Linked DNA regions of Notamacropus eugenii. The protein of the gene in region 1 interacts with the protein of each later gene in a pairwise test. Links are inferred from orthologs where the notes say so. Each region holds a gene or a part of one and is shown on either strand. Other genes may lie near its edges.

Evidence for each region. The genes of interacting proteins can lie anywhere in the genome.
Region 2: the proteins of EFEMP1 (region 1) and KHDRBS1 interact in a two-hybrid assay, tested with the Homo sapiens proteins (2 studies listed by BioGRID and IntAct). The link is inferred for Notamacropus eugenii from reciprocal best matches to the Homo sapiens genes EFEMP1 and KHDRBS1.

Annotation. Positions count from the first base shown.
Region 1 is NC_092872.1:650,313,657-650,321,601, reverse strand, and holds the start of EFEMP1 (EGF-containing fibulin-like extracellular matrix protein 1), read right to left. Parts: upstream 3,002-7,945; 5' UTR 2,867-3,001; intron 1,449-2,866; 5' UTR 1,442-1,448; coding exon 1,361-1,441; intron 603-1,360; coding exon 576-602; intron 1-575. UniProt on the Homo sapiens protein: Binds EGFR, the EGF receptor, inducing EGFR autophosphorylation and the activation of downstream signaling pathways. May play a role in cell adhesion and migration. May function as a negative regulator of chondrocyte differentiation.
Region 2 is NC_092876.1:77,776,381-77,783,351, forward strand, and holds the start of KHDRBS1 (KH domain-containing, RNA-binding, signal transduction-associated protein 1), read right to left. Parts: upstream 3,071-6,971; 5' UTR 2,943-3,070; coding exon 2,543-2,942; intron 1-2,542. UniProt on the Homo sapiens protein: Recruited and tyrosine phosphorylated by several receptor systems, for example the T-cell, leptin and insulin receptors. Once phosphorylated, functions as an adapter protein in signal transduction cascades by binding to SH2 and SH3 domain-containing proteins.

The DNA of each region.
Region 1 (7,945 bases):
GAATGATAAATATTCACTTACAAGATTAATTCATTCTTTAGTTTATGTTAACTAATTTATCAAAGCAGCAGTCTTTTATTAAATAATTGGATAAAGGGGAAGCAAATTTAATTTTAGCTTTCTGAAAGAGTGACTTTGGACTGAATTAATAAGTGAACATTATTAAAGCCTAGAGATTAAAAAAAGGAGATGCACTAATTTAGTATTTCTCTGACCTGGCTTAGTCCCAGGAGAGGAAGAAATCATCACCTGATCATTAAATTAATAAATCATTCATAATAAATTGTTTCATTATAATTAGCCTGAATGACACAAAGACATGGTGCCAGATAAAAATTAGCATTTTGAGGATTACATGATATTGAAAAAGTGAGATGATGTTTATTATCAGTAAAATGCTTACTCACTTTTAAGAAAATTTAAAAAAATTTCCACAATAATTGGTGAGAACTTACTATATTTGCAAATTGGGATCAATGTTGTTTTGATCATTTTAAGCCAGGGCAAATGTTATTATTCTCCTCATAACATTGATTATTAGAAAGCAGAAAACACAAGCAGGGTGAAAAACTTACCGGAAGTGAGGCAGTCCCGACCCTCCTCTGTTCTTACCACATCAATTCCCGGCAATGGGAGGAGTGAGAAGATATTTCCAATATTTTATTAACCATTGGTCACAGCTATACAATTATTTTCTCAAAGAACTATTGGAAATTTTATGTATTCTAATAAAAATTTCATATAACCTACTTGCACAAAGTATATTTTAAGACAATTTTTTACCCAGCACTAGGTTTTGACTAACACACAAGTAAAGTCTCTCACTAATGGGAGACTCTAAATGCATCAAAACATTTGACTTTGCTGCTGACATTATTAAACACACATAGCCTATAAGACATTTAATAAACTAGTTTCCCTTCATATGAGAAACTCCAGTTAAATGTATACATGATCTAAGGTACTTCTGTAATGTTCCATCTACTTAGATTTTAATTGAGAGCGACCTGTGACTAAGTTTTTGGCTTTATCGGTTAGTGAATGACTTCCTACTTACCCTTTCAAGCTTTTTCTGGCTTAATGAATATGTCTAGAATGTATAAATATCTTTCATCAGTGTATAAATCAGTTTTTTTCTTGCCTTGGCTAACATATTAAGTTTTTGTTCTTATCTCAGTTTATGATGTAAATAAACTTTTGAACGATCTGCTCCGATGCTGGAGCATTGTTTAATTCATTACACACATTGTGGTAAAGACCTGTGGGAGTAATCCCACATCTGCTTCCAGAGGTAGGTAATTTCTCTCCTGTCATAGACTCTCTATAAACTGAAGTTATCTTAAATTCCATCAAACCTTACCGTGTATGTGATGGTCTCCTCTGTCTCCTGTGACCTTACAAGAGCAAGAGTCAAAGTGGTCAGGAAGAGTATTTTCAACATCCTGAATCTCAAAGGAAACACAAGACAAATGGATTTTTAATATCTGTTGATTGAAAGGACAAGACATGAGATACAATGTAACCTCTAAAGGAAGATAGAGGGCAGGGGAGGCTGTCTACCACACTGTACTAAGAATTCACTTTCTCATCTGACTCTACCCCACCCTTCCTCTTCGCCAAACTAGGCACCAAAAGTAGCAAAAAAAAAAAAAAAAAAAAAAAAAAAAAGCAGCAGAAACCCCTCTTCACCTGGAAGACAGAGCTACATATACAAAGTCCCAAAGTAATAAAGATGGCCATCTCATTGGATATCACACTTAGAAAGAGAATTAACCATCATAGGTTTCAAAGGAGGTAATGTACATTCCTTACTAGTCTTTTGGAGAGAGGAGGTGTGCGTATATGTGTGTGTTTGGGGGGATATTTTTAACACAACTTCAGATTTCTTAAAGATTTTCACTGTCTTTCTAAGAACCAGAGCAAAGCCCTGCAAAGTCCGTGGTGGGGGGCACCCCCACATTTCCTTAGTTCGAGATTTTTGTAGAGATCTCTTAATCATGTTCTTCTCTCACCCTACTAGTTACCCACCCATCTCGGTAGTCCTCTCTTGGCAGCTCTCCCCTCCCCCGCACAAATTTTCCCATTGGATCTTCCACAGAGGTTCTCAGCTAACAGTGTGTATATAGCCTTACAAGTCTCACGCAAAGAAGATAAGTAACCTGGAGTGCCTGGCTCCCTTTTTCATCGTCTTTCCCCCCTACCCCCCATAAGACCCAGGAGTTTGCATAGTCTCCAGGCAGAGGGCACAGAGAAAGACGTTGTAGGGTGGCCAGGGTTGGGGGTTGGGAAGGTTGGGGGCGCGGCTGGCTGTGGTCTGGGCGGGCATGGAGGTGTTTTCCAGCTTCTTTGGAGGAGCCTACCTAACTCCGGGGGACAGAGCCGCAGAATTAAGCGCTCCTACTTTTAATTAACTCAGTTTTTGAAGGACTACAGATTTGGCTTAGAGCACACTCACGCTGAGACCCATACATACCTACAAAGCACACCACACGCAAGCAATCTGAAATATACAAAATCATATTTACATCCACGCAAACGTGCTGATTTACACACACATATATGGAACGAAGAAAACGCACATTGATGCAAATGCAATGCAATTCCAATGTATGGACACTCCTATTCTGTAATATCAGCTACCTCTAAACACACACACTCAGCGTGTACACACCTGATACCTAAAGTCTTAACTGGTGCAGAGATACGCAGACCTGTGCCAGCAGACCTGTGTGCCAGCAGAGTCGCTGCCACATTCCCTCAGTGCAAGTTCCATTTTCTCACCAGGACCCACCTATGAACTTGTGCATACACGGCCGGTTGCTAACTAAATTCTAAAAGCTCTAAGATCGCTCCGGAGGGCTCCTACCTGCAAGGGTGCGCTTTCCCCTCCAGCCCGGGGCCGTAAAGGTGTGTGCGATGCAGAGCGAAGCTAGATGAGTCTGAGCTGGTGAGGTCTGGCAGCAGCAGCAGAGGCAGGAGGAGGAGGAAGAGGAGAGAGGGAGGGAAAGGGGGAGGGAACTGAGGGAGGCGCAGGGCCGGTGCAAGTGAGGCAGCCCCTCCGGGAGACCGCGGCTCTGTTCTCCGCGCGCCCTCCTCCTCCTCCTCCTCCTCCTCCTCCAGACCCGCCCGCCCCGCCTCCCCACACCCTGCTCCTGGCGCCTCAGCTCCTTCCCCCCCAACCCCCCTTTCTAGTCCACCTTCAACTTCTTCCCTCTTTCCCTCCCTCCCTCTGGGCTTTGCCTTTCGGGGAACTATAAAATGTAGGCTGGACTGGGGCACATTTGGCTATGTTTTCTCCTGGTTTGAAATAAGACTTCATTTTTCTCCGGTCCTTCAGTTAAAAACATGTTATACACTGGACACAGAATTTTTTACAGTGATTAGGATTATTCTTAAAATTTTTTTTTTTTAAAGAACAAGTTACTCCTTTCCCTTTCTGGCCTCCCCTTCTCTCTCCCTCTCTCTAGTGAGTACCTGAAAAGGCCTTAGCCTAAAAGGTCAAGGTCTCCCTGGGCCTTCTCCAGTCATCCTGATGAATATCTGATCACTGGACCCAGGTGGCTCAGGAGGAGAAAGTGAGGCTGGTGATCTTCCACAGCCCTCCCTCACTCAGATCAAAGTCAACTGCAAGTCACGTTTTCATCTTGATGTCACCGTCCTCTTCCAAAAGAAGGATGAACACAACAACCCTCTCTCTTGCAGTCTTCCCTTCCCTAATGTAGAATTTCAGGCATTAGCAAGAAGTACCCTTTGGGGAAGGGGAAGTCTTCCCAGGTCTGTCAAATCATAACATCTGTTCTTAAAGTTTTCATGTTAAAGTCAGACTAATAGTTTGTACGCATATCTTCAGATAGCAACCCACTATACTACGCCTTCTCATCCTTTTCCTACTTATTCATGCCCATCTCTCATAAATTTCCACAAGGGTTTACCCTAGGTGCAGAGGGCCTTCCTTTGGTCCTTCGGGGGCTACTGATGGGGTACATTGACTATTCACTATCTTTCACTCTTACCTCAGGACCCATCATACTTCGTTTTCAGACTATACCTCTCTTTGATAACATCACACCACTGCAAAATTAATTGCTGATCAACTGTAGTCTACTTTGGCCCTTCATGAGCCTCTCTTTTGGGTAATTCATAAATTTAATTTTTTGTATGCTGGTATTCTGTGATTTGCAGCAATACACAGTCAGCAAAAGATAGGGATCTTAAAGAGATGGGACTTTCAGGGTCATTAAAAACTCTGCAAAATTTCTTTTTAATAATATTTATTTTTATTTTCAACTTTACAACCTGGGCAATTCTGTATCTGTAGAAATGCATAAAAGAGGATTATGTATGAAACTGCAGATCGCTATTATGTACAGCTTGCTGTATTTTTTAAGTATATAATTCAACCTGTAACTATCAAAGATGCCCTGCTTGTTTTTTTTCTTTAAAAAAGATGACTCATGTCCTACTGATTCTAGGGCCCGGTGCTCTAGATCTCGTATTATCTAACTGCCCTTGCACAGAATTCTTAAAAAGAGCTCGAAGTTGTTTGTCTTTACACTTTTGATGTTGCATAAATTGTTCTCCTGGCTCTGCTCACTTCATTCTGTATCTTTTTCTATAAATACTCCCAAGTTTCTGTGAAACTATCCCCTTTTCATTTCTTATGGCCACAATGATGTTTCATCATATTCATAAGTATTCCAACATATTCATGCTCCATACATATTCAGGTACCATTCTTTGCCACCACAAAAAACAGCGTCATAAGTATTTTTGTACAAACAACCCATTCATTTTACAGCACTAGTAAGTAGTAGCTGGGTGGCACAGTGTGTAGAGTACTGGGCCTGGAGTTAAAAAGACTCATCTTTATGGGTACAAATCCAGCCTCAAACACCTAGTAGTTGTGCGATCCTGGGCAAGTCAATCCCGATTGCCTCCCCCCACTCCCCCTGCAAAAAAAAGAACTGCAATGAGCACCTTCATTCCAGATGACCAGTGATGAAGTGGGTTACCCACCTTCTGACAGAGAGGTGATAGACACCAAATACAGAATGAGACGTATATTTTTGGATATGACCAAGGTAGGAACTTGTTTTGTTTGATTATGCATATTTGGTGCATAATAAGTGACTAATAAATGTTTATTGGTTAAAAAAGATGCTTCAATGTCCCTTTCCTTTCCTTTCCTTTCCTTTCCTTTCCTTTCCTTTCCTTTCCTTTCCTTTCCTTTCCTTTCCTTTCCTTTCCTTTCCTTTCCTTTCCTTTCCTTTCCTTTCCTTTCCTTTCCTTTCCTTTCCTTTCCTTTCCTTCCCTTCCCTTCCCTTCCCTTCCCTTCCCTTCCCTTCCCTTCCCTCCCCTCCCCTCCCCTCCCCTCCCCTCCCCTCCCCTCCCCTCTCCTCTCCTCTCCTCTCCTCTCCTCTCCTCTCCTCTCCTCTCCTCTCCTCTCCTCTCTTCTCTTCTCTCCTTTCCTCTCCTCTCCTCGCCTCTCCTCGCCTCTCCTTGCCTCTCCTCGCCTACTCCTCACCTCTCCTCTTCTTGCCTCTCCTCTCCTTTCCTTTCTTTTTCTCTCCTTTCTTTTTCCTTGTTCTCCTCTCCTTTCTCTCCTCTCTTCTTTTTCTTCCTTCCTTCATCTCTCTTTTTCTTTTCTTCCTTTTCCTTTTTTTCTTATTCTACTTTCCCTCATCCTTCACATTGAAAGAAAAAACGATTCACAGAAATATGCAAAACAAAGTACTACATTGGCTATGTCTTATTCTACTTCTTAAGCTCATTACCTCTTTCTCAAGCGATGAGTAGCTTCATAGTCACTCCTCTGGAATCATCATTGGTCATTGCCTTGGTCAAAGTTCTCAAGCCTTTAATAGTTGTTTTCTTTACAATTTTATTATTATTGTATAAATTGTTTTAGTTCTACTCACTCCACTCTAGATTAGTTCATATTTGTCTTTGCAGGTTTTTCTGAAGCATACATTTCATTATTTCTTAGGGCACAATAATTCTCTATTAGTTTTGTATAACATAATTTGTTATCCCGTCTCTAATAAAGGGGGCTTTAATTTCAAGTCCTTTGCCTGAACATAGAAGACATTTAAAGAATGCTTGCTAGATTGGAATAGATTGGATGGACCAGCTCTAAGGCTTTTCCATCTAATTATATATCATGATCTGGATAATAAACATTCTTTATCCACTTAGTTTTTCCTTTGTAGGTAGTTAGGTTGAACTCTTTTGAGTTAGAGATTAGATCCTTGTGGGCAGGGACTATATTCTGCCTCTTTTTTGCATCACTGGTGCTTAGCAAAGTGCCTGGCACATAGTAAGTACTTGATAAATATTTACCGATCGATTGAGGCATGTATCTGATGTAGGAAATTCTGCAGTATTCCACAGTTTGAAATATCAGCAAAATATCATTTGAAAATAGGTCCTCACCATTTATAGGGGATCCCATTTCCATTTAAATTCCGTATTGGACATTCTGTATGGCAAAGGCAAACATCTCTGGTGAGCATGAGCTTGTGTATTTCTTATATACTATCATTAGTATATAAGCATATATGTTTATATGCATAATATTATTATATTGGATATTGTATTTATATGCAACAATATATTATAGAAGTATATATTCTATAGCTATTGAAATTATTATGGAAATTCTATAGTTATTGAAATTATATTATTGAAATGTTATATTTTATAATTATGTAAATAACTATATATTATTACATAATATATAATAATATAATAACAGTATAACATAATACAGATAATTATATGTCTTAGAACATTAAAATTTTTGTATATTTAAATAGCATTATATGCATTATCTCATACTATATATTATATTATTAGAGAATATAGAACATATAGTTCAATTAATAATATACAATTCTATCATAATTATAAAATTCAATTATGTGTAATGTAATTATGATAAATTTCAATATGGTATATTTATAAATTGATATTATAATACATAGTTATAATTGCATATCCATAAGTATGTTACACACATATATAATATATATTTATATATAGTATCATTAGTATTCCTTGATGCTTGCTAATAATCAGAGTGATATTGCCTAAAGTTCTCTCTGTTTCTTCTTTCAAACAATCTTGTGTGATTTTGACATATATTTGGAAGACACATTGTTGGGATGTATATTCTTTAAGGTGACATTTAGCTGTACTGAATTAAATGCTTTTAAAAGTAGTTAAAAAGCATTAGCCACGGTGGCATCTTATGCACTCTATGCATTTCAGTCATTTATATGACTCTAAAAGCATGGTCTGTTGTGGAATATATTTTGCCTTTGTGTTCTCTTCTTAATCTTTCATGAAGGATGCATTTGGTGTCTAAATAGGTTATTCTCAAAAACATTTTGTAGAGATGGAAAAGTAGGCATTTTGGTAAGTAATTACCAATATTTTCTCAGATGCCTATTTTTGGTAGTAATGCTGTTCCATTCCCTCTAGTTTGTGTTTGTTCTTCAGTCATTTTTCAGTTGTGTCTGACTCTTCTTGACCCCATTTAGTTTTTTTGCTTTTTTTTTTGGCAGAGATAATGGAATGGTTTGCCATTTCCTTCTCCAGCTCATTTTACACATGAGAAAACTAGGCAAATAGGACCAAATGACTTGCCCAGGGTCGCACAGCTAACAAGATTCTGAGGTCAGATTTGAACTCAGGAAGATGAGTCTTCCTGACTCCAGGTCTGGTGCTCTATTCACTTTACCATCTAGCCCTTGCTTGTACATCTGTCTCCTGTTCTTGGAAGGTACATCCTCCACATTGTTATCTCTAACAGACCCTAATTCCCTTCAAGGTCACTTGAAGTGCCACTTTGTACATGAATGTTTTCCGACACCGACATAATTGTTAGTGCTTCATTCGACCAAGAATTATTCATATTTATTTATTATGCATTTTGTTTTCTCTC
Region 2 (6,971 bases), on another chromosome or scaffold:
CACACAGTCTCACTCATTTGCCACTATATTGCCCAATCATAGAACCTTTAAGAGTGCCTCCTGGGGTTCACTTTATATTTGAAATTCTGAATGAATCTTTACAATTCATTCATAAATACCTTAACAAAAAGTATTACAACTTAGAACTGGAATATAGCTCTCCATCTGGTTTTCCTAACAATGATATTTCTCTAATCCAATCTCTCCGACAGGGGTTCTTAAGGTGGGTTGCATGCAACAGTTTCTTTAAAATATCCTGAGAACTGTATTTCAATATGATTAGTTTCTTTTGTACATTTTCAGTATTTTATTTTATGCTTTTAAAAGCATTATTCTAAAGAGTCCACAGGCTTCCCAAGTTTGCCCAAGGGTCCATGATACGTAAAAGGTTAAGAATCTAGGCTCTAATTACTTTACCAGCTCAGTAAAATTAACTAAAGGAAAAACCAAAGCTTAACAAATGAAAAAGTTTCCCTAAAGTTTCTCTTGGAAGGAAACAAAAGGTAAACCAACAAAGGGAAAAAACCTCAATCGTTTGAGGATTAATACATTCAAGTGCTTACTCTAAGAAACCTTTCATTTAAAACTCCAGTTACAAAGATTTACCTATTGGGAACTTGGTATAGGCCTAAAGGATCTGGTAACCTTACGATTTCTTACCCTGTTTGGCTCTACAAAATAAGGAGTTCTGTGTATGGTTACAGCTCTAAACATAAGAGCCATTACTACAAATGCACTAAAAAAGTACACTATAGGTCATTTTTGATGTGTTTCATCTAGATCTGTTTTTAGATACTTTTGGAAATATAAATTCCCAGACTATTCAGCAGTTGATGAGATGTGCTAGCAGAAACTACTTCGTAGTTAAAACGCAAATGAGGAGCTACTCAATGGCAATATAAAGACTAATTATTAGAGCCATCTTTCAGAAAAATCAGTGTTTTTTGAAAATGGGTCACAGATTTTAAGCATCACTTCCAATAATTAAGAAAAATATTTACATATCAAAAGAGAAGGTGCTTAATGAAAAGCAATGCATGTCACTTTGGTGCCACCACGCTAAGCCAATCTGACACTTACAATGTCACAACACAGTAAACCTCAATCTAAAAAGGGAACACCCCCTTCCCAAGCAGGTTTCCAAAAGAACTGAATTACACCACACAACCGAGAACGGGCAACACTAAACACAATATTAGATCTAAAAATGTTTCCCATTACATCAAATGAGATGTAAACTTGACTGATCGGAATGCTGACAATCACAGGTTTCAATTTTTGTTTTTAAAGTCGGGCCCCCCTTCAAGACAGAGAACAAAGAACAGCCAAGTCACTTCTTTTCCAAGTCTCCTGATGCTTAAGGTTGCCAAATAAACTAACGTTCCCAGCCCTGAAGGTTCCAGATTTTAACGTACCCAGTAAATCTATTTATCATAAAAAACTCTTTTGAAAAGAATCCCACAAGTAGAAGCTAATACAAAGCAGATGGGTTGTGGGGATAAGGGGAATCGGAGCTCCCAGGTGATTGGACCGCGCGATGTGGGAGCGGAGCGCGTTCAGCAGACACAGAACAAAGACTGGCACCCCCTTTCTCTAGTCAGTTCTCCAACCAGGATAAAACCCACGACAACACGCTCTCGGGGCGAGGCGCGGGGGAGCAACTTCCCTCCAGGCCGAGTCCTCCGGCATTAAGGATAAAGAGCGCCTCGCCCCCCTCCCCCGGCTGTCGCGGTTCAGAGTCTCGAGTGGAGAACAGGAGGATCCCACGCCGTTAAACACCCGCGGGGGGAGGGGAAGGGAATGCAGGGTACGGCCGGGCCCACAGAGGACGGCCCTGGGCGGCCAGTAGGGTCGGCGGAGTCGTGTCCACTTGGGGCCGCAGGCGCCCCCGGCCGGCCCCGCCCCCTGCCCCTCCCACCCCAGCCCGCCTCGGTCCCTCCCGGCAGGGCCCTCCTGCTGGGGGCACCCGCCGCCCCGCCGCCAGGCCAGCCTCGGGCGGCAGAGGCCGACTCCGGGCTCCGGCCGTCGGCCAGTCAATCAAAAGGCATGGAGGTGGCGCTTTCGAGGCGCCGGGCACGGGCTGCGGATGGAGACCCTCGGAGGGGGGCAGGACCCCGGGTTCCGAAGGGACCGTCGTCACCCCACCTCTCACAGTAGTGACCGGGAAACGGAGGCCCTCCGGCACCTTGTTCACCGCCCCCCCCCCATTTAACTGATGGGGGAGCTGAGGCTCGGAAGAGTCCTCGGGCATCTCGCTCGCCCTCTCCCCTCGGTTTTACAGGCGGGGAAACTGAGGCCTCGGCTTCCCTTTCCAGCCCCGCGACCTAACAGTGACATTTCCCCGATGCCACCCCTCCCTCGGGGGTTCGTAGCCCGGGCCTGGGGAGGGGGGGCGCTCCAGGACCGGAGCCACCGTTCTCTCCGCGGAATCCACCAGGGCCCCTTCCGTTACAGCCGCAGAAAGAGCGGGGAGCCCACACCTCCCTCCCCCGCTTGGGCCCGGGCCCCCTCCGAGGCTCGCCGCCACGGGGCACCGGCTCACCTGCAGCCAACAGCTGCATGGCGTGGGTGAAAGACGGGTCGAGGGAGTCCTTCTCCGCCATGAGTTCGGGCAGGTACTTGTTCTCGGGCTCCATCTTGGCGGCGGCCGTGGCGGAGGGCGGCAGCAGCGGGGTCGGGGCAGGCGCCGGGCCGCCCCCGCCCACCTCGGGGCCCCCGCCGGTGGCCGAGGGAGGCAGCAGCGGCGGGGGCTGCGTGGTCGGCGCGGCCCGAGAGCCGCCGCCACCCCGAGGGCCTCCGCCGCCGCCCCGGGGCCGGTGAGAGGGCAGCGGCTGCCGGGACGGCGCCTGGCGCGGCGGCGGGTGGGCGCCTGAGGGATCCACGGCGCCGCCGCGGCCCAGGGGCCGGCACAGCCGCGCGACGGGGTCGTCCCGGCGCTGCATGAGTGCGGAGCGGGCGGGAGGGCGGCTGAGGAACGGAGCGCGGCGGCGGAGGCCCGCGCAACGGCGGCGGTTGGCGGAGGCGGGAGAGCTGGCGCGGAGAGGACCGGAGCAGACCAGAACAACCCAGCGAGAGATCGACCCAGACACAGAGTGAAAGAGATCACCGGAAGTGAGCGACTGCGCACGCGCGGCCCGCCACCGGTGCCGCCCTGCTCCCAGAGCCGAGAACAAAGTCCCCGACTCTGCCACGGCGCCTGCGCGTCACCACCGGCGCGCACCTTGTTAAGTCCCCGCCCCTCACGTCGACCGCCTCCACTGAGGAACCGGCGGAGGAGCGCTAGCGGAGCCTGCTTAACGCCAGTACGCACGCGCTAGCCCTCCCTCGCTCCCTATAACACGTGACCAGGTTGTAGCGCGGACACGTGTCTCCACCCCTGCGGGCGGGCGGGCAGCGAGCTGGGGCGGGGGCCGTGGAATGTCTTTGTCTGAACGCTGCCCCGCGGGCTCGGGGAGAGCCGGGTTGGCCTCCGCTTGAGCCCCGCCCTTTTCTAACAGTCCTCGGGGGAAGGGACTCCGGAAGATAGTGAGGTGTCTAAAAGAAAAAGGGGATTCAGGCCCTGGGCGGGTAGGGCTTTGGAGGGAAGCTCGGCCCGGGTCCGGGGTGAGGCTCCGGGAGGGGAGCAGGGCGTGCCCCTCCGCTCAGTCCGTGCGGGGCGGGCTGGCGCCGGACCTAGCTCGGGCTCCGCGAGGCCAGTGAACCAACGGCTGCGGAGCTCCCGTGGGGCGGCAGGCTGGGCGGGGGGCGGGGATAGGAGGCGCTCCCGCGCTGCACCCACGAGAGCCGCCGGGACGGATCGCGGACCAAAGGTCTGTGCCAGAAGGTGCGAAGCTTCACCCCAGCTCCGGCCGAGCCCCGAGAAGGGCGCTCCCGGAGGCGTCGCTACAACCGCCTCTCCTACTACCTGCCCTCCTCCCACGGAACGAGAAGTTCCCCAGGCCTGTGCAGATGTCGTCATCCTCCCCGGATCTCCTCGACTTCCCAGGGTTTGGGAATGACAGCCTGGGGGGCGGGGGGAGGGCAGAGACCTTTCAAACCACGTGTACATTCCATGAAACACGTATTCAGAGGCCTGGATTTGGAATCAGTGGACCGGACCTCGTTTTGAATCCTGCCTTGGCCATTAAGCACTGAGACAAACCTCGCATCTACGAAGTAAAGGCTTTGGACTACATAAATAACCTTCAAAGTGGCATTCCCTTGTAAATCCAGGATCCAGTGAAAGCTTCAGGTTGAGTGGGATAGACTTAGTGAAGACTCCTCAGATTGTAATTTTTCTCCCAGGGGTGAGGTAAGGCCTAAAGGCTCAAGGTTACAATATTTTTAGAATAGAATAGTTCCATATAAGGATATAAAACTGTGTAGTGTATTAGGGTCTCAATGACTGGACAAAACTTACATAATTCCTCGATGTCTTCATTTCAAAAGGGATTGGTTAGATTTCGTGTCTAGAATGTAAGACCATATTCTCAGCTAATGAGGATAATGGTCAGTGGGGGGAGAGGGACTTGTGTTAGGGTCTGTATAAATCACTGTCTTTTCTTTGTCTTTGGCTTTCCTACTCCTACAGGTGAGCCCCGCTTCTCGAGAATCGAATAAATCTCTTTTCTGTCATCACTTTGAGAGGCCTCTGAGTAACTGATTTATGTAGGGACCTGAGCCATCCCACACAAGGTGTACCCATCTTCAGACTTCCCTTGGGCCTCCGTCCTCGGGCTGGGTCCAGCTTGGCCGTGCCTACTTCTAACTAGAATGGGGCACCCAGAGCCGAAGACAGCCCTCTAGACCTGCTCTGCCCAGGCCAGTGAGAGAGGTGCTCCTGCCTCCCGAGTTCTCATCGCTGCGCTGCTTTGATGGGATGCAGTACCAAAACTTTGTTACCTTTCATTCCACCAAAACTCTTAGATCTCTTTGAAAGTGTCTCACTTATCTGGTAGACTGCCTAACCAAGACTTCTCCCAAATTGTATTTCTGAGGTCCACACGTAAAACTTTATTCCTATTAAATTTCATTTTATGAGATGAGGCCCAATGTTAGGTGGTGGGTTTTTTTTTTTAACAAATGGACTTTAATATAAACAAGTGCTGGAATTAATGCACGTTTCAGGAAGTTTCTTTTCAGAATCTCTTTCTGAATCCTGTGATGAAGTGTCTTTAACTATTCCTTCCAACTTTTTGTTATTTGCAAATTTGATAAGGGTACCAACTTTGACCTTATCTTAGTCTTGGGTGAAAATGATAAATGTTAAACAGCAGAGGGCTAAGCCCAGAATTCTTCAAGAGGACACTACAGACCTTTTAAATAAATTGACATTGACCCATTAATGACTGCTTTTTGGGTCTGACCAACAGGCGCTGGATCTGTACGACTGTACTATTATCTAGTCAATATTCTATTTTGTCCCACAGAATACCATGAGACATGTAGCATTCTGCTAAAATCTGGCTATCTTTTGTCTACAACATTTCCCCATTCTACCAATCTAGTTACTCAGGGAAAACAAAGAAAGCAAAGTAAAGTTAGATTGGCATGAACTGCTGTCAGGCTGACTCGTTATGATCATTGCTTCCTTTTTCTAGATGTTCAAGAGACATCCCTTTAATATATGTTCTAGAATTCTGCCAGGAATTGAAATCAAGGTCACTGACCTATAGTTTCTAAACTGCACATTTTCTTCCCTTTTTTGAAAATCAGAAAAATATTTGCACATCTCCAGGCCCACAGCAAGTTTCATACAAGCTTCATGCTTCATACTCCTTCAAAGATCACAGAATAGCTAGACAATCACACAGACCTCTTCTCTGAGTACCCTGGGATACATCCAGGTTTAGTGACAAATCCATCAAAGGTAGCTGGGTATTTTCTTAACATTTTCTTTACTTATCTTGGGTATCAACTCATTATTACCATAAAAAGGGTCATTATTATTCAAATGGACAGGATGAAGGGCAGGACAGCAGAGAGTAAGAAGAATAATTCAATTCAGATTTTGCTTCTTTTTTTTTCTCTGAGAAAGACAAAGATCTGATGGGAAAGGGGAAAAAAAATGGCCCCTAGAATTGATGCCCAAGATAAAGCAGAGAGGTGATAAGGGAATGCCTTGTTGTCCTTGATGGATTCGTTTTACCAGGCCCAGACAAACTTAATTGGAGGGTAATGAAAAATCTAAAAGATGTGATTGTTGATCTTTGACATAATGTCCAGTACTAGCGGGGTGATGGTCTCACTGTACTCTAACCCGATCAGTCGCCATCTGGAGGATTGTGTTCTGTTTTACAAAAGGTGCTGATGAACTAGAGAGCCTACAGAAAAAAGGCAAAAAGGATAGTAAAGATTTAGGGGGCACATGACAACCACCTTCTGGTATTTTAAGGACTGTCCTATGAAATTAGACCTTTTCTTCTGCTTGCCCCCAATGGGCAGAATTAATAATAATAATTGGCATTTATGTTAGTGCTTTAAGGTTTGCAAAGCAAACCTTCCTGTCTTTACATTTTATCATCACAACAAACTTGGGAAGTGACATCATTATCTTTATTTTATCAATGAGGAAACTGAGGCAGGCAGAGGGTAAAGGATTTGCCCAGCGTCACATGGTCACAAAATATATGTCAGAGGCCAAACTAGAACTCGGACCTTCTTTACTCCAAGTTTAGCAGTCTAACCAGTAACACTCTAGTCACTGAGCCCACCTCTAAGAGCAATGGATGGACGTTGCAAAGAAACTATTGGGTTCCATAGAAAAGGCAAACTTCCTGATGATTACCACTATCCCAAAGTGGAATGGGGTGCCTTGAGAAGAAGTGAGCCCTTCACTGGAGGTCTTCAAGCAAAGGCTGGGTGGCCTCTTGTTAGGTACGTAAAGAAGATTCTTGTTTACTTATAGCTCAGACCCCCTGATCTCTGCAATCTCTTCCAACTCTTGGGATTCTGTAATTCCACGATTCTGCCTGACTTCCCTATAGAATCTA